Linked DNA regions of Pelodiscus sinensis. The protein of the gene in region 1 interacts with the protein of each later gene in a pairwise test. Links are inferred from orthologs where the notes say so. Each region holds a gene or a part of one and is shown in the gene's direction. Other genes may lie near its edges. The genes, in order: TAX1BP1, CXXC1 and PLEKHN1.

Evidence for each region.
Region 2: the proteins of TAX1BP1 (region 1) and CXXC1 interact in binary tests that used the Homo sapiens proteins (3 or more experiments, as listed by UniProt). The two-hybrid records come from large-scale screens. The link is inferred for Pelodiscus sinensis from reciprocal best matches to the Homo sapiens genes TAX1BP1 and CXXC1.
Region 3: the proteins of TAX1BP1 (region 1) and PLEKHN1 interact in binary tests that used the Homo sapiens proteins (3 or more experiments, as listed by UniProt). The two-hybrid records come from large-scale screens. The link is inferred for Pelodiscus sinensis from reciprocal best matches to the Homo sapiens genes TAX1BP1 and PLEKHN1.

Annotation. Positions count from the first base shown.
Region 1 is NC_134712.1:196,219,478-196,227,135, reverse strand, and holds the start of TAX1BP1 (tax1-binding protein 1), read left to right. Parts: upstream 1-4,634; 5' UTR 4,635-4,773; intron 4,774-7,658. Other genes in the region: HIBADH (3-hydroxyisobutyrate dehydrogenase, mitochondrial), read right to left, coding at 4,353-4,434.
Region 2 is NW_027465846.1:162,682-170,555, forward strand, and holds the start of CXXC1 (CXXC-type zinc finger protein 1), read left to right. Parts: upstream 1-4,833; 5' UTR 4,834-4,961; coding exon 4,962-4,964; intron 4,965-5,473; coding exon 5,474-5,592; intron 5,593-5,834; coding exon 5,835-5,935; intron 5,936-6,026; coding exon 6,027-6,169; intron 6,170-7,874. Other genes in the region: synaptonemal complex central element protein 1, read left to right, coding at 1-49, 313-433, 1,016-1,105, 1,493-1,520, 3,093-3,137. UniProt on the Homo sapiens protein: Transcriptional activator that exhibits a unique DNA binding specificity for CpG unmethylated motifs with a preference for CpGG.
Region 3 is NC_134733.1:14,661,371-14,668,335, forward strand, and holds the start of PLEKHN1 (pleckstrin homology domain-containing family N member 1), read left to right. Parts: upstream 1-3,934; 5' UTR 3,935-4,219; coding exon 4,220-4,299; intron 4,300-6,220; coding exon 6,221-6,320; intron 6,321-6,965. UniProt on the Homo sapiens protein: Controls the stability of the leptin mRNA harboring an AU-rich element (ARE) in its 3' UTR, in cooperation with the RNA stabilizer ELAVL1.

The DNA of each region.
Region 1 (7,658 bases):
TGAGCAGGGAAGGGAGAGAAGAGGGAGACAGCAGAGAGGGGCAGGACCTGGGCACAGCAGGGGTGGGGCATGGGTGGAGTCACAGGTTTGGGAGCTTGCCTCCCCAAGCATCACTTTCATCCACCACCCATGCTGGGTACAGAACCCACGATCTTTGTGATGACTGGCATGGTGCCTAGGTGGCTCCTGAATCTAGTAGAGGGACTGATTGAAGCCAGCAGCAAGCTCCGAGTAAGAGTCACTTGGTGCACCTGTTATGAACGCAGACCTAGAGCAAACTGTAGTTCAGGATCAATGGAAAATTCTAGGTCTGCATTATGAAGAGCCATTCAATTCCCCTCCTACATCACAGGAACAGCTCACGGCAAACCTGATGGAGGCAGAAGCCACTGCAGAGGACAGTAGGTATGACTCCAATTTGCAGAGAATAGTTGTAATAATAAGAGGAATTACTGCTCTAAGGAGAAATACAAAAGTTATGATAAGCCCCAGCTACCAACGTGTTCACTACTGCTGGATTATATCACAGCACCTTGGCACTTCCCCTCCCCTGCCATCCTACTGCATGGAGTTCAAAGTGGTGACTGGGAATTTAAATCATCCATTAAACGCTGTGAATGGTATTGTTACTATAAAGTAACCAATGTTTTCTTTTTAGTAGTAAGGGCTTATAATTTGCCAATCTATGGAGCCACCTGGAAACAGTGCACTCCAGGAGTTTCTATTTCCAAAACTAGCACAATTCAGTTGACACAGCTCATGAAGTTTGGAGATCACAAAATCATTTCTCCCAAGTATGAGTGAGGTGTCAGTTTTTGCACATAATGTGTTGCATGTTCAGAGAGGAGGAATGTGGTAGAGTCCTGCATGTTTGCATGCAGCAATAACAGGAGAATCAATGAATGAGCTAAGATAGCATCTTGTTGCTTCCCTCAGGAATTCTGACCAAATTTTGGTAGCTGATAGCTGAAAACTTTTCCTTAAAGAAAGAACTCCAGATAGCCTAATAGAGAAAAGAACGTGTTTTTCAGGGTCTCCTTTATAGCACACTACTCAGAAATGTGCTGTTTTTTCACAATTCCTTTGAATAATTCTGCCAAACACATCGCAGCTTGAAATAACATCTCCCTTTGCCAACAGGGCCCCACAACAATTTTAATAGCCTTCAGAACATGAAAGGCCTGAAATGATAGCAAAAAGCTTTTTACAGCAAGGGCATTATCTGCATCAACTGGGAAGAAAAGGTTTTTATAATTTTAATTTTAACATTGTCTCTGTACTTCCGTAACTGCAGTTAACAAGGTTGTGCCCAGAGGAAATATGTCAACTGATGCAGCCTTTCATAAAGTATGAGGGTTCAGTTTAGAAATGAAACATTTTAGGACCTTGAAATTTCACAAGAATGAATTCTGTGCTTCTGACTGAGCTACTTTATCCTGTAGTGAGCTGTATGAAGAAGTGGGCTGTGCCCACAAAAGCTCATGATGCCATCTAACAAAACATGTAGTCTATAAAGTGCTACCAGACCATTTGCTGTTTTTTAAGTTTATCCTGTACATACTAACTCGGCTATCCCCTGAAGCTACTTTATACAATAACCTTCTATTTCTTGTCCTATTTCAGGCCTTCCCACCCTCTATTGCCTGTTCAACCATAATAGACAGTGACTTAGGTAAGGCAATACCGACGATTTCATGGTCGCTGGATTTTTAAAAAAGGTAACTTTATTTATTTAAGCTATTTAAAGGTGAAATCTCATAGCGTTGTAATTGTGGGGGTCCTGACCCAAAAAGGAGATGTGCAGTGGTCGCAAGGTTATCATGTGTGTGTGTGCATGCGCACAGGGGGCAGAGAGGGTGTTGCAGTACAGATACCTTTACTTCTCCACTACTGCTGGCAGTGGTGCTGTCTTCAGATCTCAGGAGCCAGAGATCTATGGCTGCTGAAGGCAGCATTGCCACCAGCAATAGCACAGAAATAAGAATGGCATGGTATTCTATTGCCACCCTAACTACTGTGCTTCTGCTTGGAGAACTGGCCCTCAGTCATCAGCCACCACTCTCCAGCTGCTCAGCTCTGACGGCATAACAGAAGTAAGGGTGGCAATACCACAAACCTCCCCAAATAAACTTGTAATTCCCCCTGCTACTCTCTTTAGAAATCAGGTCCCCAATTTGGGAAACACCTGTGAAATCTGATTCCCCGTGAAATCTATATAGTATGCATAACACACACAAGATCAGATTTTTTTTTCGGGGGTGGGGGGGGGGGAAGAAGGGGAGGAACCAGATTTCACAGTCTTTGGTGCATTTTTCATGGTCATGAATTTGGTACGGTAGAGCACGGGTGCTAGGGATGTGAAAGGTTGGTTGTTTAGGCAGTAGGCACCACACTAAACAGGTGATGCTTACCCGGTCTGGTTAACTGGTTATTGGTGGGGACTTGAGCAGCCCCCCCGCCTGCCATGTGCGGGGGAGGGAGTAGGTCCAGTGCTTCAGAGGACCTGCTGCAGGTAGGCACTACTCCCGCATCCTGGGCGCCCTATAGGCAGGGTCTGCTTCTGTGGAGCAGCCTCTGTCCGTGAGAAGCCTCTGTGGACAGAGGTTGCTCCAGTGGGGGCTGGAAGCCAGCAGCAGTCCCAGCTCCCATGTGGGGTTGGGAGCTAGCAGCCATCCCCAGTGTAGGGATGGGAGCTGCACAAGCAGGGACTGCCCCAGTTCAGATCTTGCATAGTCTGTTAACCCATTAAATGTTTAACCTAATGTTTAACTGATAAACTGGGATGTTACATCCCTAGATCCTGGGACTCTGATTCTTCTCCCTTGAGGGAGGGGAGAGCATTGGGAGCTTATCTCATCTCTGTGGGATCTGGGATATCTAGCTTTGCTGGGTGGGCACAGATCGGGTAATGGGGTGAATCAGGCCCGAGCAGGTCTGTGGGATGGGCCCCCCCAGCATGGGGTGTCCCTGCACAGTTGGGCTGCTCTGTTCTTTCTGTGTGGAGGCTGGGGGCAAAGGGAGGGAAGAGGGAGCAGGCAGGATGCAGAGTGACATGATGATGTCACTATCATCCCACAGGAAAAAAATATGTATATGTACACATACACACACACACAGAAAATTAAGAGAGTGAGACATTTGTTTTTATTGATCTAAAAAAATAAAATTATGAAGGGCCTTTTAAGCTTAAAATTTTACTTAAAAATAATATAGTAGTTTCAGTACACCTTTTGCTGAGCCTCCTGGCATATTTTGTGGTTCTAAAGTCACATTCCCCCTTTTTAAAAATACACTTATATTTTCCATATACTACAGTATGTGAAAGACCCCCAATAAGCACAGGGAAAACTAACTGAACACAAGGGAAACAGAAAAAGGTGTCAAATGCAGAAAATAAACAAATCTAAAATAACCACAGAAAGATTCTGCCATTTATTTCACTTATAACAATCTTAGCTGTTATTACATACTATAGAACAATTTCAAACCAAAATATGGACCTTAAATCACCAGAGTCCTTTTAAAAGCAAAGGCAGGAGACAAGGGAAACGTTATACTAATCCTGCATATACACTTGTTTTACTTCACACTCAGCTGAACTCCTCCTGTCTGTAAACTGAAGTATGGACATAAATGTGTGTAATATAAAGGCCTTGAATATTTAAAAAGTGCTTCTGGGTTCAGCTTTGGCTCAAAAATAATGAAATATAATCAGAGAGAAAGCAAACAAGTATGAGTACCGATTACAGATATGAAGAACATGTTTTAACTCACTAGCTTCACATAAACTTCTGTGGGCTGTTTTAAAATCTACATATGCTATTTTAAATAAACATGTAAAATATTTATTACACTAAGCTACTCATAACATTAAGTATTGATATAAGCCTCATATAATTTTACAACCTGTATGGCTTTAATAGAGTGCACAACACTTGTAAAAGGTGCAAAACACAGGTGATAATCCTCGCGTGCTAGAAAACACATTTATCAGGGCTTTCAAAACCTCAATGCATGTTTCATCTGAGGAATTAGACGCTTGTCAGGGGTGGGGAAATAGTCCTCCAAGCACACTGATGCACTCGTTAAATCCGGCGTGCAACTCCCGTGCGCCTCCAACTACCACCCACCCCACAGCCCCTGCTTTCCCGTGATAAGAAGTTGTGGGGCAGAGCTGTCACTTGACTGACCCACATGCCATTTTAGCGAGGGGGTAGGAAGCAGCACCCCACGGGCGGGTTCAGGACGGAGGCCCGGCCTTTGGACACAACGGGACCACGCTCTGCAACCCCAGCTCGCCCTGCGAAAATGTCACCCCGCATCCCCAGGCAGAGGGCGAGGCGGGTGCTTACCCATTGCCGTGCCGGCAGCATGCACCTTCCAGTGCGCGTGCAGGAGCCTGGCAGAGCCTCTGAGCAGTAACACCGCTGCCATGCCGCCTCCACTCAACGTGACCTCCACTCAAACACCGCCCCCGCCTGGCCCTCTCTGCCTGTGACCGTGGACGGGGCGGGGGAAGAAGACGAGTGGCAGCCAGCGTAGCCAACCACAGCGTGGCCTTGGCAGCCGCACACCAATGAGAGGGGCCATCTTCCTGCCAGTGACCTGCCGGGTTCGCCTCCAACCCCATGACAGACAAGGCAGCTGTGCCTGCTCCACCGCCCACGGATGGGCGGGTCTGGGGGGGTGGTGCCCGCTCGTGAGCAAGCGGGACTGGGCCAAGGTGAGGCTCCCTGCACCTCTTGCAGCCGGCGCCTTCGCTTACTCCCCTAGGTGAGTGGGGTAGCCCTGTGTCCCTGCCAGTATTTTCATTGCCCAGTGGGGTGCCCCCTCCCGCCCCGTCCTTCTGGCAGAAGCAGCATTTTTGTACAAATATTGGTGGTGCCTAGAGCCCCTACCTCACTCAAGCCCCCACCTGCCTAAGGCTCTGGGAGGCCGTTTGGGTGGGGAAGGGGTACAGGCTCTGGGAGGGAATTAGGGTGCAGGAGGAATTCAGGGGTGCAAGCTCCGGGATGGAGTCTGGGTGCTGCTTCTGGCCTGGTGCAGGGGGTGGGGTTCCTGGGTCTGGGAGGGAGTTTTGGGGGAAAGCAGGCAGGGGGAAAGAGTGTAGGGGCTAGAAGGAGTGGGGCACACGAGGGAGTGGGAGGAGGGGTTAGGGGATACCATGCTTCTGCGAGGGACCCATCCTCTGGCAATGGCTCCTGGAAGAAGTAGGGATCTCGAGGTGCTGCTGCCCCAGCTCTCAGCTGCTGGAAAAGCACATGGCATGGAAACACTGGGGGATGGACAGAGCCTGTGGGGCAGCAAGATGCCAGGAGATGCAGGGCATGGCAGGCAGTGACAGTGAATTTGGCGGACCCCAGACCCGGGCCAGGAATATTCCTGGTGCCAGAGTATCACAGGCACGTATACTGTAACTCACTGCCTTTGCCCTCTTGGTGGACCTTCCTTCACCCTGCAGGAACAAATTGCTCTTATTTACCTTTTTCCGATCAAGCTACCTTCTGTACTTAGGAGAGGATCAGAGTAGTTGCATAACTCCAGCCAGTGATTAATCAGAGAGTCTATGCTTTCTCCAGGCAGCATCGCATTAGGGTTACGCACTCAGGTTTTTCCCTGCCCTTCTTCTCTCTTGCTGTGGCAGCTTTTAGCTTGAATATTCCCCTTCAAGAAAATGCTTTAGACTGTTTGGTGTCTAAAATAAACACTTGAAATGTTATCCTGCTTCTCTAAATGCCACCCTAATATAGCCCTATAATTCACCCCTCTCCTAGTATTTTCATGTATTTTAACATATCAGTTATTTTTTCAAGTATTCTTGGACATAAAATCTTACATATTACATAGCCCACATTGTTTTTTTTCCCTTTTAGCTGGTGGGGTCATGTAGCATAATTATAATTAATATGAAGGACTAGATCTTATATGTACAGATAAATAGTCCCTTTTCTCATGTTTTGTTCTTACTGTTGAACTTTAAAATATTTTGTTTTGAAAAGGCTGTTCTGTTGTTGTTTTTACAACTGGTGACCACACCTGAGGGGAAGAGTTTCATATTGCCTAGCTAGACCTGCTGAGGAATCACAATTGGCACACAGGGTACTGTTGCCCAGGGACTGGTTCTAAGAATGGGAGAATCATGGGAGTCTGTTTTCATCCCAGGGTAGGTAAAGGGATGAGGTGTATAAGAGCTAAAGCCTGAGAGGGGTGTACTTGGAAAGGGCAGAAAGAAGTCAAAGGTGTAGCCAGGCCAGTGAACTGTGACTTTTCCTTTTACTTCTTCATTTTATTTCATATTGTGTTCCACATATAGGCCTCTGCAGATGGAGAGATGTAATTTTCCACTTGTCATAGTCAATATAGATAATATTGTTTAAAATGTAATTTAATTGAGTAGAAATCCATCAGAAGGCAGAATTAGTAGATCCATTAATGAAGTGTATAAAACAGCTGATAAAAATCTTTTCCTACATTGGTTCCCTGTAGTAATCAGAGGCCCCCTTCATCAGTCACATTACATCAGGGTGGGCAAGATACGGCCCATGGGCTGGATTCAGCCCACCAAGCTGTTTCATCTGGCCTGCAGCCCACCCTGCCATGCCCCCACCCCCCAGGCCAGTCAAGACCCTTCCCCTGTTGGGGCACATGGCACCAGAGGGAACTGCCAGTTCAAAATGGCTAGCAGTTCCCTCTGTGTGCTGCATGCCCTTAGCACAGTGGGGGGGAGGGGCGGGGTGGGAGAAGACCTCCTGTGCTTCCCTGCCCCATGGAGGGGGGGCATGCAAAGTCTCCTTCCTCTCCTCACCCTCCTCCCCCACATGGTGCTTAGAGGGAGCTGTCCCTTCCAGCTGAGGTCCCACACTTTCCGGGACTGGCTCATGACCACTAACAACATTGGTGAAGTGTTCCTCCCTACAAAAATGATTGCCCACCCCTGCATTATACAGTATAGGAACTAAGGGTCATTTGGCAATAAAGTTAAAGCTTTAATAAACTCAGTGGTTTTCAAACTTTTTTTTCTGGGGACCCAATTGAAGAAAATTGTTGATGCCTGAGACCCAGCGGAGCTGGGGATAAGGGATTTGGGGGTACAAGAAAGGGTTTAGGGCTTGGGTGAGGGCTGTCAAGCGGGACTGGGGATGAGGGGTTCATGGTGCAGGAGGGTCTCTGGGCTGGGATAGGAGGTTGGGTGCAGGATGGGGTTAGGGCTGGTGATGCAGGCTATGAGATGGAGTCGTGGATGAGGGATATAGAGTGGAGGAGATTATGGGTTGGGGGGGTCAGGGCTGGGGCAGGGGATTGGGGCACAGGGTTGGGTAATGGGCTTACCTCCCATAGCCTTTAGTTAGCAGAGGTTCAAAGGCAGGCTTCCTGCTTATCTTGGCACCATTGACCATACAGTGCCCCAGAAGCAGCCAGCAACAGGTCCAGCTCCTAGGTGGAGGCATGCAAGCAGCTACGCACAACTCTTACCTGCAGGCACTGGCCTGCCCCAGCTCCTATTGGCTGGTTTCTAGTCAATTTCAGTGTAGGGACAGCATGGGGAGCCCTGTGGCCTTACTGCCTAAGAGCTGGACCTGCTGCTGGCCACTTCTGGGATGCTGCATGATGTCAGAACAGGTAGGGATTGCCCAAGGCAGTGGTTCCCAACCACTGAT
Region 2 (7,874 bases), on another chromosome or scaffold:
GCCGAGATCCACAGCATGGCCGAGAGCAAGGAGCATTTGCTGAGCGAAGGTGACGAATCTCTCCGGCCCCGCTTCCCAGCTGTGAAAGGGGCAGAATAATCCTCCCTCGGGGCTGTCTCATTCGAGTGCAGATGCGTGGGTCAGGACCTGCCTCTTGGTTGGGGTCTGGGCGGTGCCCATCAGAATGGGACCCTGATCTCTGTCGGGGATCTTGGGGGTCTCGCTCCAGGAGTCGGGCCTCGTGCCTTCTCCCTGAGACCCCTGCACCGGAGTGATGTGGCCCCGTGCCGCCGTTTCTGTCCTTTGCCCTAGACCGGCTGATCCAAGCCAGCCTGGCCCAGGTTGAGAAGCAGCTGGACTCCCTGCCCCAGGCCAGGGCAGCTCTCAGCCAGGAGAGGATGTTCCTGAAGAGCCAGGAGGCTAGCACGGCCCTGTGAGTGTGGAGCGCCCCCAGCCCTGTGCCAGCCACCAATGGAGCATATTGCATCAGTACAGCCCGAGCAGGATGCCTGGTCCCACCCCTGGATCTGGGAGGAGAGTGAGGGCTAGCGGTTAGAGCATGGTGATTGGCAGACAGGATTCCTTGGATTCTCTCTGTGGCTCTGGAAGGGGAGCTGGGTCTAGTGGTTACCGCTGGGAGCCAGGACTCCTGGGTTCTCCCCTTGGCTATAGGAAGGGAAAGGTGTCTAGTGGTTACAGCATGGGGGGACTGGCAGACAGGACTCCTTGGATTCTCTCTGTGGCTTTGGAAGGGGAGCTGGGTCTAGTGGTTAGCACTGGGAGCCAGGACTCCTTGGTACTCTCTGGAGCAGTGAGGACAGCCCAGGTGCTGGCGTGAAAGCAAACATCTGGGCTAGTGGGGAGAGTGCCTAGGGGCAGCGTGGGCAGAGGCAGAGAGGCAGTTGGCAAGGTGAATGCAGGGAGAGCTGTTTCCAGCACAGCCTGCCTTGCCGGGGGATGGCTGCTGTCCATCACCGAGGCGGCTGGGCTGCTCCATGCTTTCTATTGTCTCCAGGCAGCTGTTCCAGCAGGAAAACAAGAGCGCGACTGAGCATCTGGAGGCAGCGTCACTCCGGCACTCAGAACTGCAGCAGAAGTACAAGAGGTGAGCGTGGGGGCAGGCTGGGAGCCCAGACCCCTGGGTTCTAGCCTGGCTCGGAGGGTGGGACCGAGGGGGTTAGTGCAGTGGGGCTGGGCGCCCCAGGCTCTGACTGGTGTGTCCAGGAAACTCCCCTGGCCAGTCCCAACCTGGCGGGGTCCTTTCCCCCTCCTTCCACTCTCCCTGTGTTCCCAGAGGGTTCTGGGATTCCTCGCTGTCCAGTGGCTCCGGGCCCCCAGAAGTGGCGGTGAGTCTCTGCTGGGAGGAAGGACTCTGCCACACCCCTTGTGCAGTGTAACCCTTCCTCTCTGTGACGGGCGCCGCTGCCCTGGCGATGGGCCCAGCCAGGTGCCCCCCTTGTTTGATAGAACCGTTATTTCTGGTCCCTTCCAGGCTGGCGGCCGAGCTGGAGGCCCAGCAGGTGAGGATGGCGGCGACAAAGGGAAACTGTTGACAGGACTCTGTGCTGCCAAAGGGGCAGGGCTTGGCTGGCGAGTCCATTGACCGGCACATCCGCACGTGGCCAGAATTCCCCCAAGAGACAGACAGACAGAGAGGGGTGTGCAGGAAGGACACGGGTGCAGGGGCATGTTGGGATGGGGAGATGGATGGAGAAGTGGGGAGAGGAGAGACGACAAGGTGGGGAGTTTAGAGGAAGAGCTGGCAGGCAGGAAGTGAGTGAAGACTGGCAGGCAGGAGGTGTGCGAGGGCTGGCTGGCTGGTGGGAAGTGTGCGAGGTGTTGCTGGGAGATGTGAGAGGTGTGGCTGGCTGGTTGGTGGGAGGAGTGTAAGCCATGGCTGGCTGGTGCAAGGTGTGCGAGGCGTGGCTGGCTGGCTGGTGGGAGGTATGTGAGGGCTGGCTGGCTGGTGTGAGGTGTGCAAGGAGTGGCTGGCAGGTGCAAGGTGTGTGAGGCATGGCTGGCTGGTGGGAAGTGTGCGAGGCGTGGCTGGCTGATGGGAGGTGTGCGTTGTGTAGCTGGCTGGAGGGAGGTGTGCGAGGGCTGGCTGGCTGGCGCAAGGTGTGCGAGGCGTGGCTGGTGCAAGGTGTGCGAGGGCTGGCTGGCTGGCGGGAGGTGTGCGAGGCGTGGCTGGCTGGCGGGAGGTGTGCGAGGGCTGGCTGGCTGGTGCGAAGTGTGCGAGGCGTGGCTGGCTGGTGGGAGGTATGCGAGGCGTGGCTGGCTGGTGCGAGGTGTGCGAGGGCTGGCTGGCTGGTGGGAGGTGTGCGAGGTATGGCTGGCTGGTGCGAGGTGTGCGAGGCGTGGCTGGCTGGTGGGAGGTATGCGAGGCGTGGCTGGCTGGTGGGAGGTGTGCGAGGGCTGGCTGGCTGGTGCGAGGTGTGCGAGGCGTGGCTGGCTGGTGGGAGGTATGCGAGGCGTGGCTGGCTGGTGCGAGGTGTGCGAGGGCTGGCTGGCTGGTGGGAGGTGTGCGAGGTATGGCTGGCTGGTGCAAGGTGTGCGAGGGCTGGCTGGCTGGAGGTGTGCGAGGTGTGACTGGCTGGTGCGAGGTGTGCGAGGCATGGCTGGCTGGCGGGAGGTGTGCGAAGCGTGGCTGGTGTGAGGTGTGCGAGGGCTGGCTGGCAGGAGGTGTGCGAGGCGTGGCTGGCTGGTGCATGGTGTGCGAGGGCTGGCTGGCTGGTGCGAGGTGTGTGAGATTACAGTGTCTGCTTTCCAAGTTCCTGCTGGTGCCCACCTCCGCTGGGATGCTCAGCAGTCGCTCACACTCCTTTGGCCGTGCTGGCTCCCTCAAGATAACTGGTGGGGCTGAGTGGTCCCTTTGGTGGGACCCACGGCCCTTCCCTAAATGCCCAGCAGTGGGGTGGGCTGGCTCCTGCAGCCATTCCTGGGCCAGAGTGCTCAGGGCTGGCTCCGTCCCTCGCTGTTGGGGTGGGATCCAATGCCTGGTGCCAGTGTGTGTTCCCATCCAGCTGTGACCCACCGTCCTGACTGGGGGCACGGTGACCCCCCCAATCTCCCTCACCTGCTCTGCCCCACAGCAGGGAACTGGGGGCAGTTCAGCCAGCATGGAAACAGCTGCCTAAAAGCCACGGCCGCTCTGCAAGCACCCCAGCTCCTAGAGCGGAAATCGGCCTGGAGTTACGTCGCCTCTGGACACAACCGTCTCCTTGTGGTGAATAAAGACTTCCTGCTTACGCCCCTGCTGTGCCCGGTTATTGGACTCGGGGCAGGGGCGAAGGGTCCGGTTCTGCGGAGGATGGGGGTCGCGTGGGGAGGGGCCACGGGGAACTAGTCTGCTGAGAGAGCTTGTTCGCCTGCGAGCGAGCGAGTCCGTCTGTCCATCCATCTGCTTGTTTGAGAGCTCCTAAATGAACGAGCTAGGACCCGCAAATTCGGTAGGCGGCTTCCTCTTCCCAGAACTTAACGCAAGGCCAGGACAAGGGGACGTGCCCGGGATGCGACAGTTTTCCAGAACATAGAAAGGGAGGGGGCTGCTAGCAGGGACAGTTATAAGTGTAATGACCACAGGGGGGCAGCAAGGGGCCAGCGATGGGGACTGGGGCAGCAGCGGCTCCGGGGAATCCCACCCGGCCAGCATGGTCCCCACCATGGCCAGTCCCGGGGGGGCCACCGCCCAAGCAGTGAGGTCTCCGCCGGTTCCTACGCCCCATACGCCCCAGCCCTGAAGGACCTACCTGAGCAATGCTGGGTAAATCTTCTAGTATTTAATAACGGGCCAGCAGGAGACCGTCTAACCGGATCCCGTGGCTGGAAGTTGAAGCTGGACAGAGTCAGCCTGGGAATAAGGCATCCGTTTTGAATGGGGAGAGGAATTAGCCAATTCCCCAAGGAGCATGGTGGATTCTCGGCCTGGCTCTCAGCTCTGGGAGGGAGCAGTGGATAGCAGATGGGATATGGCTGTGTTTGGCCGTGCACATCTGAGTGGTGTATCCTGTGGAACTCCTTGCTGCAGGGTATCAGGGAGGCAAAGAACAAAGGTGAATTGAAATAAGTGAATTTCACATGGGAGACCACGAACAGAAGCACCCCCCCAGCTGGGACATGCACTCCTAGTCTCCAGACTTCGGACACTCGGCGCCCACGGCCTGCTCCCTGGAAGGTGGGGGGCTATGGTACGCGGTTGGGGAGACACTGTCCTGCATGCTCACGGCTGCGTGGAGCGCGGGTCCCAAAGGGGCCTATGGCAGCCAGGGGAAGTTGCAGGAGGGCAGGCACAACCGCAGAGGCTGCCAGGAGGGGGGCAGCGTGTGCAGCTGCGTTGCAGCGGGGCTGGGCCACGGAGCACCAGGGGTGCCCTGGAGCCCCCATGCCCTCCAAGCTGGCTGGGCCTTGTGTCGCTGGGAGCCAGGGCTCCTGGGCCCTCCCCTCCCCAGACAGTGGCCCAGAGTTGGGATCCAGCCCTGGATCTCCAGCCCCTAACACTGGCTGACTAGCCATCCATCTAGCGAATCTGAGTTTGATTCAACCAGCCTTGCTGTGCCAGAGTCAAAGATGGCCGCCCCCTCAATGCTGCCAGTGACGAGGCGCCGGAGCGGCCATGTTGGAGCCTGGCGCCGAGGTCGCGCTGATGCCAGTGGGCGTGGCCGGTCCCCGCTCCACGGGGTGACCATATTGGATACGTTCCCCCGCCTCTGGGACGTGGGGGCGGCCATCTTGGAAGCGGGCCGAAGCTGAGCGAGGGGCACGCCAGAGGCCGCAGGGCGGCCATCTTGGAAGCGGGCAGATGGGCGGGCTGCCGGGGGAGGGAGGTTTGCGAGGGCGCCTTTGGCCAGGGTTGGAGAGTGACCCCGGAAGCGGAAGTAGCCGCCCGGGGGGGGGGGGCCTGTCGGGACTTCCTGGCCAGGAGCGCCTGTTGTCTTGCTTCCATCCACAGCAAGGGAGAGACCATGGTAAGGGGCGGGGGGGCTGGGAGCCAGGACTCCCGGGGGCTGGGGGGGGAGGGGCCAGGACTCCCCGGGTCTGGGGGGAGGGGCCAGGACTCCTGGGGTCGGGGGGGAGGGGCCTGGACTCCTTGGGGGAGGGGCTGCTGGTTGGGGGGGGATCCAGAACTCATGGGGTCTGGGGGGGAGGGGCCAGGACTCCCGGGATCTCGGGGGGGAGGGGCCAGGACTCCTGGGATCTCGGGGGGGAGGGGCCAGGACTCCTGGGGTCTCGGGGGGGAGGGGCTGCTGGTTGGGGGGGGGGGAGCCTGGACTCCCGGGGTCTGGGGGGGAGGGGCCAGGACTCCTGGGATCTCGGGGGGGGAGGGGCCAGGACTCCTGGGGTTTCGGGGGGGAGGGGCTGCTGGTTGGGGGGGGGAGCCAGGACTCCTGGGGTCCCTGGGGGGAGGGTCTGATGGTTGGAGGGGTTGGGAGTCCTGAGTTCTCTGATGCCCTTTCTGCCCCCCCCCCCCCCCCAGGACAGCGAGTTCTCCGACCCGGAGCTGGCCGCGGTGGGCGAGGAGTCTAAGTCGGAGAATGGCGAGAACGCCCCCGTCTACTGCATCTGCCGCAAGCCGGACATCAACTGCTTCATGATGTACGGAGACCCCGGGGAGGCGAGGGGTCGCTCCGGCGCCTGGGTCCCCCTGCCTGTGTCCTAGGTTGCTGCTGCTGGGAAGGGGGCCGGGTAACTCCCCGCCCCTGCAAGGGGAGCCCCAGGAGGCACTTGGCCCACGGGCTGGGCAGGGGGTTGTTTCCTGGGGCAGGCAGGGCGGGGGGAGTGGGGCAGGGGCTTGCACAGGGAGCGCTTTGACTCTCCCGTCTCTCCCGCCCCTGCAGCGGCTGTGACAACTGCAACGAGTGGTTCCATGGCAGCTGTATCAACATCACGGAGAGGATGGCGAAGGCCATTCGGGAATGGTACTGTCTGCAGTGCCGAGGTGAGGACGGGGGCGGGGCGGCGCGGGGAGGGGAGGGGGGCGGCACCCCTGGCCTTTCTGGCTGTGATGTGCGTTCCTCTCCCCTCCGCAGATAAGAACCCGGCCCTGGAGATCCGATACCGGCACAAGAAATCCAAGGACAAGGAGCGGGAGGGCGAGCGGGATCGGGCGGAGAAAGACGAGCTGAGGAAGAAAGCCCAGGAGCTGGCCCTGGATCAGAGCCGTGGGTCCAAAGTAAGTGCCCGGGAAAGGGTGCTAGGTTGGGGGTGGAGGGAGCCGGTGGGATTCTGTCCCATGAGCCCATGGGGCTGCGTTGCCAGGGAACTGAGCGGCAGGGTTCTAAGAGCAGCTCCAACCACCTTCCGGCTCCAGTTGCTGCCCGTCCCCAGCGTTAAGGGGCAGAGTTAAGGGTAAACAACCTGCAACGTGGTCGGATTTCCTTGGGCAGAGAGCTGCGCCGGTGTTGCCCTGATGCGTGGCCACTCCCCAGAAGTGGCTGCGTCTCGGAGTTGGGCAATCCGTCCCGTTTGGAGTGGCAGTGCTCCCTTCTCGTCCGTTGAGCCCCCAGGCTCAATGGAGGGATGATAGGAGTTACTATAGAGAACTGGGTATCTGGCTGGTGAGTCTTGCCCACATGCTCAGGGTTTAGCTGATCGCCATATTTGGGGTCGGGAAGGAATTTTCCTCCAGGGTAGATTGGCAGAGGCCCTGGAAGTTTTTCTCCTTCCTCTGTAGCATGCGATACAGATCACAGCTGGAGGATTCTCTGCATCTTGGGGCCTTCAAAGTATTTGAAGGCTTCAATATCTGAGATATAGGTGAGAGGATGATTCTAGGAGGGGTAGGTGAGATTCTGTGGCCTGCACTGTGCAGGGGGTCAGACTAGACGATCATAATGGTCCCTTTTTTAATGGGGAGCAGGTTTAAAACTAATAAAAGAAAGTTCTTCTTCACACAGCGTGTAGTCAACCTGTGGAACTCCTCGCCAGAGGAGGCTGTGAAGGCTAGAACTATAACAGCGTTTAAAGAGAAGCTAGATAATTTCATGGAGGTTAGGTCCATAAAAGGCTATTAGCCAGGGGATAAAATGGTGTCCCTGTCCTCTGTTTGTCAGAGGCTGGAGAGGGATGGCAGGAGACAAATCGCTTGATCATTGTCTTCGGTCCACCCTCTCTGGGGCACCTGGTGCTGGCTGCTGTCGGCAGACAGGATACTGGGCTAGAAGGACCTTTGGTCTGACCCAGTACGGCCGTTCTTATGTTCTTATGTTATGTTCTTCTGACCTTAAAGTCTAGGAGTCTATGAAACGGGCCTGCCAGGTTCCTTGGCCCATTCTCAGACCACGGTTCTGGAGCATGGGCTGGTGGGGTGAGACCCGTGGGCACTGGGTGAATTTCCGACCCCACCTCATTGGCTGTGGCACTGCTACAAATACAGCTGTGGACACTCATCTGGCCTCTTAAGTCAGGAAGTATTCTCCCTGCTCGCCAGCTGGGTGTGAGAATGAAAGAGTCCCGGGAGAGAGACCCCTTGGGTTTACGCTGTAAATATCCTCAAATGCCTGCTCCCGGCACATCCTGTGGTCTTTCCCCCTCCCCCCGGCCGGTCTTGGCATCCATGATTGGGTTGGGTGGCAGGTGGGGTGTCAGGTATCAATTTAGGAGCTTGAAAATCCCTGAGTACGTCCATGGGGGAGCTGCCATGATCCCTGCTGAAAATTAGGGGCTGAGGGAGTAGGGGGAAGGAGACGGGAAGTCAATGGCTGAGCACGTGCTCCAGCTGACCGAGGCTAGAGCCATCTCCAAGCCATACGCTCGGGGCGGAGACAGCCCTGCGGAAGAGCTGGGCTGTCTGATTTCCAGGGAAATGTCTCCTGACTGGAATAGACCCTGGGTGGGCTGCTCTCCGCTCGGGCACTGCTAAAAATCTCAGTGCTGCC
Region 3 (6,965 bases), on another chromosome or scaffold:
AGCATTCCAGCAACTGTGGCAAACACAGGGAGATGCTCAATACTGCCCACTTTATACATCCACCTATCACGTCAGCTCTTTGGGTCACAGCATCTACCTGGGAGCTTGTGTTCAGCTAATTAACCACCATGGCTTCTAGTCCTTTTCAGAGTCATGGCATCCCAGGAGAGAGTCCCCATCCTGCACATACATCCTACATTCTTATATCCATATGTAAGGTTGTACTTTTAGGAGCAATTACAATGCATATTGTTTGCTTGCCCCCATTGTTTGCTTGCATCATGTGATCCAGATCGCTCTGTACCAGAGACCTGTCCCCTTACCACTCTCCCATACTCTGTGTCAGCCTCAAAAAAAATTATCCCTATGATACCCTACCAGATACACACTGGCTCAGCGAGGATTCCCCATTTACAATTACATTTTGAGATCAATCAGTTTGCCAGCTTTGAATCCATGTAATGAGGGCCACGTTAATTTTGTTTTTCTCGTTCTTAAATTAAAATACCATGCTGGGCCAAGTAGGGATCTTAGTGTATAACCGAGTAACCGTTCAGCTTATTGGTTGATGGTCTTGGTTACACTCAGCCACCTCCCCGGCAGCTGAGTGGGCAAGGGCTGACCTACGGGGGGGAGGCTTCGCTGTGGCAGGGGCTGGTGTCTCCACTCCCAGGGAGGTTTTGCTGCAGGCTCTGAGATTTTCACAATATACACCAAGGGTAGGCAAATACCAGACCACGGGCCAAATCTGGTCTGCCAGGGTTAGCCCCTGATGGGCCCACACGCTGCCATATTTACCTGTACCTCTGTGGGTGTGAGGCACAGCTCCAATGGAAGCTGTGATCGCTCGTAACTGTGGAGGTGCAGGTAAATACAGCAGCAACGGCCCACCAGGGGCTAATCCTGGTGAACCATCACAATTTTATTGCCCACCTCTGGGTTACACCATTATCCTGTTACATGATGTTTAACACAGCTACCCCTCTGATACTTGACTTGGTCCTAGGAATGTTAGTCTGAATCTGCAAAAGCGGCAAGGAGTCTATAAGGTGCCACAGAACTCCTTGCCGCTTTTCTAGGACCAAGTCCGATGCTTTACAGAAATCTATTACATTAACACTATGATCTTTGTCAACCAAACTAGTAATCTCCTCCAAAAAGTCCACGTTAGTCTGACAAGATCTGTTTTCCATAAACCCATGTTGATCAGCATTAAATATAGTACCCTCCTTTAAGTCTTCATTAATCAATTTTCATATCTGCTGTTCCATTATCTTGCCTGGAAGCAATGTCAGGCTAGCAGCCCTACAATTACACAAATTATCTCCTGTACCCTTTTTAAATATAAGCACATTAGCTTTCTCTTACTTCTCTGGAGCATGCCCAGCATTCTGAAACATACTGAAAAGCAACATTCATGGGCCAGAGAGCTTCTGGGCCAACTCTTTTAAAACTCTTGGATGCAAGTTACTAAGGCTGCTGATTCGAAAATATCAAAATTTGAAAGTTTTGACAGCTACTGTTTAACATTCTCTTTAGTTACTAATGAAATGGAAAAAAAGTCATCATCTTGGCTTTTTTCTAACCATAGAACAGAAATATTTATTTTCTGTACTGCTGTTGTCAAAGCTACCATTTTCATTCAGCAATAGACCAATACTCCTATTAGGACTCCTTTTGTTCTTAGTATACTTTCAAAACCTCCTTAGTATCTTTTTCTCTGCTAGCTAAAGATTCCTCCTTGTGTCTTTGCGTGCTTCCTAGCTTCTAATGTAGAGTCATCTTACCCTTTTCCCCATTTATTATATACTGAGAAGTTATTTTTGTTTGGTTTAGAGGGAAAGTGAAAGCAACTACAAAAAACAGTTTGTTTTCTTAAAGACAGTTCCTGCCCCAAAGAGCTTACAGTCTAAATTTTTTCCTGCCTGTGTCTTTTGGCCATCTAAGTAAATGTTTTTAAACAGTCCCCAATTATCACATGCTTTTCTCTCTTCAAATTCTTACTTCCTGCTGATTTGGCTCCTAAAGACTTTGAGCTTTGTGAAGTTGGCCCCTGTGAAGGGGGTGCACTCACCACCGTAACCCCCCTGCCATCTGTCCTCAGGAATTGGCTCCCTCAGCGGGTAGGGGAAGCAAAATGCAGGACAATGTAGCACTTTAAAGACTAACAGGATGGTTTATTAGATTATGAGCTTTCGTGGGCCAGACCCACTTCCTCAGATCAAATAGTGGAAGAAAGTAGTCACAACCATATATACCAAAGGATACAATTAAAAAAACTAAAAAAGGGTGCCTTCTCTGGGGTGGTGTCTCCCCTCTTTACTCCCGGCTGCGGCATCCTCTTTGCCACACTGCCCTCCAGCAGTGCCCAAGTCTGTCTCTGAGCCCCCCTTCCGGGGGTCGATGTTCCTTCATTGGGCCTTCTTTCAAGCCCTGCAGTCTGAGGATTTGCTGGCCAGAGCTCCCCTAGCCCTGCCTGGCCTCCCCCAGCCCTGCCCTAGCTCCAGGGAGCCTGAGCCACCTCCCTCCCCAGCCAGGTTCTCACTACTCCCCTTTCACAGCAGCAGCCCATCCTCTATTATAGCTCCCAGCTGGGCCCTAATGGACTAGTACAGCCTCAGCTGGGCTAAACTCCCTGGCCCTGGTTCAGGCCGGAGTCTGCCCTTAAAGGGCCAGTGCAGGGCAAGCGCCCTGTCACAGCCCCTTTTAAAGCACCGTGTGTATTTGTATAACTGGTTTGAAGTTTATGCTTGCGTGTACATAAATAACTAAGGTTCTCACACAGAATCATAAAATAATAGAACTGGAAGGGACGTTGAGAGGTCAAGTCCAGTCCCCTGCATTTACAGGTCCAAGCACCATCTAAACCAGGGATGGACAATAACGTGTGAAGGAGAGCCACTTCCCAAATTTCTGAGGGCTGCCCCAGAAGGGGCGAGGCCTCGGGAGGAAGAGGTGGGGCCAGGAGGCTTCCTGTGCAGCTTCACCCACAGACCCTAATTGGCCAGGGTGTGGGGGAGAGCACTGAAGTCTTTCCCCACCTCCCCCCTCCAGCACCTAGGGTACTCTAGACTACAGGCTTTTGTAGACAGAGGCTTTGTCGACAGATAAGGTCAACAAAGCTTCTGTCAACAAAGAGCGTCTAGACTACATCCAATTCTGTCGACAAAGTAAGCTGTTTTGTGGACATGAGAGTGTAGAAACAAAGCACAGTGTAGATGCAATAACGCCTTCTGTTGACAGAACTCTGTCGACAAAAGGCATTATTCCTCGTAGAATGAGGTTTACTGCTGTCGACAAAACTGCCGAGTTCTGTCGACGTTGTGTCTACAGAACTCGGCGGTAGTGTAGATGCAGGTATCATTCTGTCAACAAAAGTCCACCTTTGTCGATAAAACCCTGTAGTCTAGACACACCCCTAGAGAGAAAGCAGCTTGTGATTCCCTCTGATGACTGGGACCCCTGGTGGGGGGAGGAGACTTGACACGGAGGCTGTCTTGCCCACCCCTGATCTAAACCATCCCTGACAGGTGTTTGTCTAACCTGCTCTCAAATATCTCCAAGGATAGAGATTCCGCAGCCTTCCTAGGCAATTGATTCCAGAGCTGAACATGCAGCGAAGCTGCCACTAATTTGTGGTTCACTGTTTAATTTGTTTTTAGCTGCCCAAAGGAGGGCTAAAAGAGAAATCCCCCCTGTGGGAGCCAGCACTTTTGGCGCTAGGAACAGCAGTGGGACATGCTTCTACAAGAGCGCCATGGGTTTTGCAAACCAAGTCATTCCGCAAAATAAAGGCACACGAGCCCCAGGCATTGGCCGGACGCTGTGTGTCCGGGCGCCTTGGCTTGTGCAGGGGTCTGCCTGGGTGATCCGATTGCAGCCGCGAGACCCACGTGCGTCCTCCGAGGGAATCTCGCCGGGATTAAAACCCCCGTCCCCCAGCCCAGGAGCCAGGGGGGGCCACCCAGGCTTTGTGGGGTTCCTCGGCTGCGCAGGTCCCTCCCGGTGCGGCGTGGAGCTGCGGGGAGGGGGGGTAGCGAGGAGAGCCCGGTGGGAACAGCCCTGGGCCAAAAGGCTGTTTGCGCACAGATCACACCCACAAGAGTCACCGCGGACGGAAGTGGGGCTGGGAATGTCTGCATGACTCGCTCGCCCGGCTCCCAGCGCCTCACTCCCTCGCTCCCTCTCGCCCTGCCTGGCGCGCCCCGCTGCAGTCCCCATGGGGAACACGACCTGTGTCCCCCAGCCGGCGGGGCGCTTCCGATACTCCTTCAGCAGGAAGCCTTCCCTGAAGAAAGAGTAAGTACCGGCTCGGGGGGGTGTCTCTGGCCCTGGTTTAAAGCGCCCCTCGGTTCCCCAGCCCGTCTCCGGACAGTCGCGGGGGGCTACACTCGGGCGTAGCCAAATGTGCATTGAACGCGCACGATCTGGCGGGGGGTGGGAGAGCCCGGGGCGAGCTCGGGTTCCTGCCAGGCTCGGAGAAGAGGCGTGGGACGGCTCCGGCGGGCGGCGGCCCCGCGAGGAAGAACAGGGCCGGCGTCTTTCCTTTTCCTTGGGAAAAGTAGAGCTCGTCCCCACGTGGCTCGCCGGGGAACGTGCCGGTGGCTGCTGCTGCTTTGAGCTTGAGCAGGATCAGACAGACCCCAACCCCTCCCTTCCCCCCCGGGATGTCTAGTTGCATCATGTCTCCCAGCCTTGTCACCCTGAAGAGGGGGACGTGCCAGACACTCCAGGAAGTCTCGTCGGGACTTTGGTATTGGTATCAGTGGTACCTGGAAGGCGCACCGATACCAGGGTGATGGGCAGCAGCATAACCCCTGAGAGAAGCAGATCGTTGAGGTTTTCCACGGAGCCGCTAGGAAAGTCCCATGCAAGTATCAGAAGTCTTGCAGCTCTCTGCACCCACCCCTTTGCTAAGTCCCCTGATCCCAGCAACACCATATATTGCTTCCTGCTATGCCCACCCATGTGTGTGTGTGAAGTGGGACCTTCCCCAGGCTGCTGCCTTCCAGGCATGTTTGATCCGGACCATAGCGTGAGCCAGGCCTTTGTGGAGGGCAGTGGTTTTCTTTTAAGTGGTCTGAAGCTGGAGAAAGCATTGTGTTGTTGTATTATCTTGCACCCTGGAGTTCAAGAGAGCATTCCGAAACCCTCAGGGCTCTACAAACCAACAGCCAGGATGTCAGGAGTGTTTCTTGTCTTCTTGACATTGATTATATCAGCAGTAACATAAGGGGGGCAATAAAACGGGCCGGGGTTCCCCAGGGTTAGCCCCTGGTGGGCTGCTGCCACTATATTTACCTGTACCTCCATGGGTATGGGCAATCGCAGCTCCCATTGGCCAGAAACAGTGATCCATGGCCAGTGGGATCTGTGATTCCCCCCCCCCCACACACACACACTTGTGGCAGTGCAGGTAAATATGGTGGTGTGGGGGTCCGCTAGGGGCTAACCCTGGCAGACTGGATCCGGCCCGTGGGCCTGTATTTGCTCACCCCTACTCTAAAGGGAGGCCGTTGCAATGGAGTAAAACAGATGCAAGGGAAAGGAGAATCAGACCCAAGATCACTGGCCCCGAGAAGTGTGCAGCATGCCGGCCCAGATCCTGTGCAGTGCGCCTCCCATAGACCCCACTGAGCTCTAAGGTCACTTGGCTGCTTGCAGGATGAGCTCTTCAGTCCATTGCAAATGACCAGTGTTACAGTGTGGTGCAATGTGGTTTAAAGAGAGAGGAAGCCTTGAAAAAAGCAGCACCCGTGACCTGCCTGGGAAATTGCAGCTGGGGAGCTGCAGCAGTGCGCATTAACACGGGTGTGGGTGTGCGCCCCCAGGCACAGGGATGGAATTTTACTGGGATTCAGAGGACAGCATCAGGAGAGGCACAAGATGGAATAAAATGGAGTGGGTGAGTGCTGGTTTGACACTTCCAGCGCAGGCTCCATCTTTTGCCTGGGGGAGTTGGGAGGCGAGGCTGGAGATGCAGACAGGGCTTGTTGATCATTTTGGTGACGCAAAGGTAAGTAAATAAACCAAAGCCAAGCCAACAAGTGCCATGCAAAGCCATTAACATTCTTGCAGGCTGATTAGCAGCTGTTTATTGGGCTGGGATTATTAGAAGGCCTGTGACAAACTGCTTGCTTGGCTCCCCAGCTTCCTTATTTCTGAGTGGGGGGTTTGCAATGTCCCAGCTTTGATCTCAGCGTGTTTGTTTTCTTTGCAGACAAGACAGCAAGAAAAAGCTGGCCAGCCTCTTTGGTATTGAATCAGGGCATGAGAGAGACATAACGGCAGATAAAATACTGCAGTATATTCCTGGGAGGGTAAGTACAAACCCATCCAGCCATACCCTTGAATGAGGGGAAGTTATTCTTACCTGCAGCGGGGTTCACTTGAATAGGAGCTCCCATGTGTATGAGATGAGCAGGCATTTCTGCACGTGTCCAGGCGAGGGAGATCAGAGGCTGGGGATGGGGGATATTTGTAGGAAGACCAGGGATCAGAAGCAGAGAGCTATCTCCTTCCAGGCAGGCTAGCTCACCACTCCAGTTCTCTAATTCAGCATCCTGTGGGTGGGGATCACGAAGTCCTGTCATCAACTTGAAAATCTGGAATCTGCAGTGCTGGCAGGGAGGTAGGCAGAGCCTCACCTGCTCTTAGGTCGTTTGCTTCTAGGTCGAGTAAGGATGAGGGGAAACTAGGGAGAGCGTACAAAAGAGAGCGATTCATTCCCATGCTGGAATGAGATGGAGCTGCAAATGTATTAGCAATCAGCCACAGGAGGGGGAGAGGTAGGGGCAAGCCTGCCTAAGGCACATCCAAACTTTGCAGATGCATGGCTCATTCCCAGCATTCTCAATGGAAGAAGAGCTTATGTGACTAGCAGTAGTGTTGATTGGTATTATGGTCACATCTACAAGCCACAACCAAAATCAGGACTCTGTTGGACTGGGTGCTCTCCATCTACC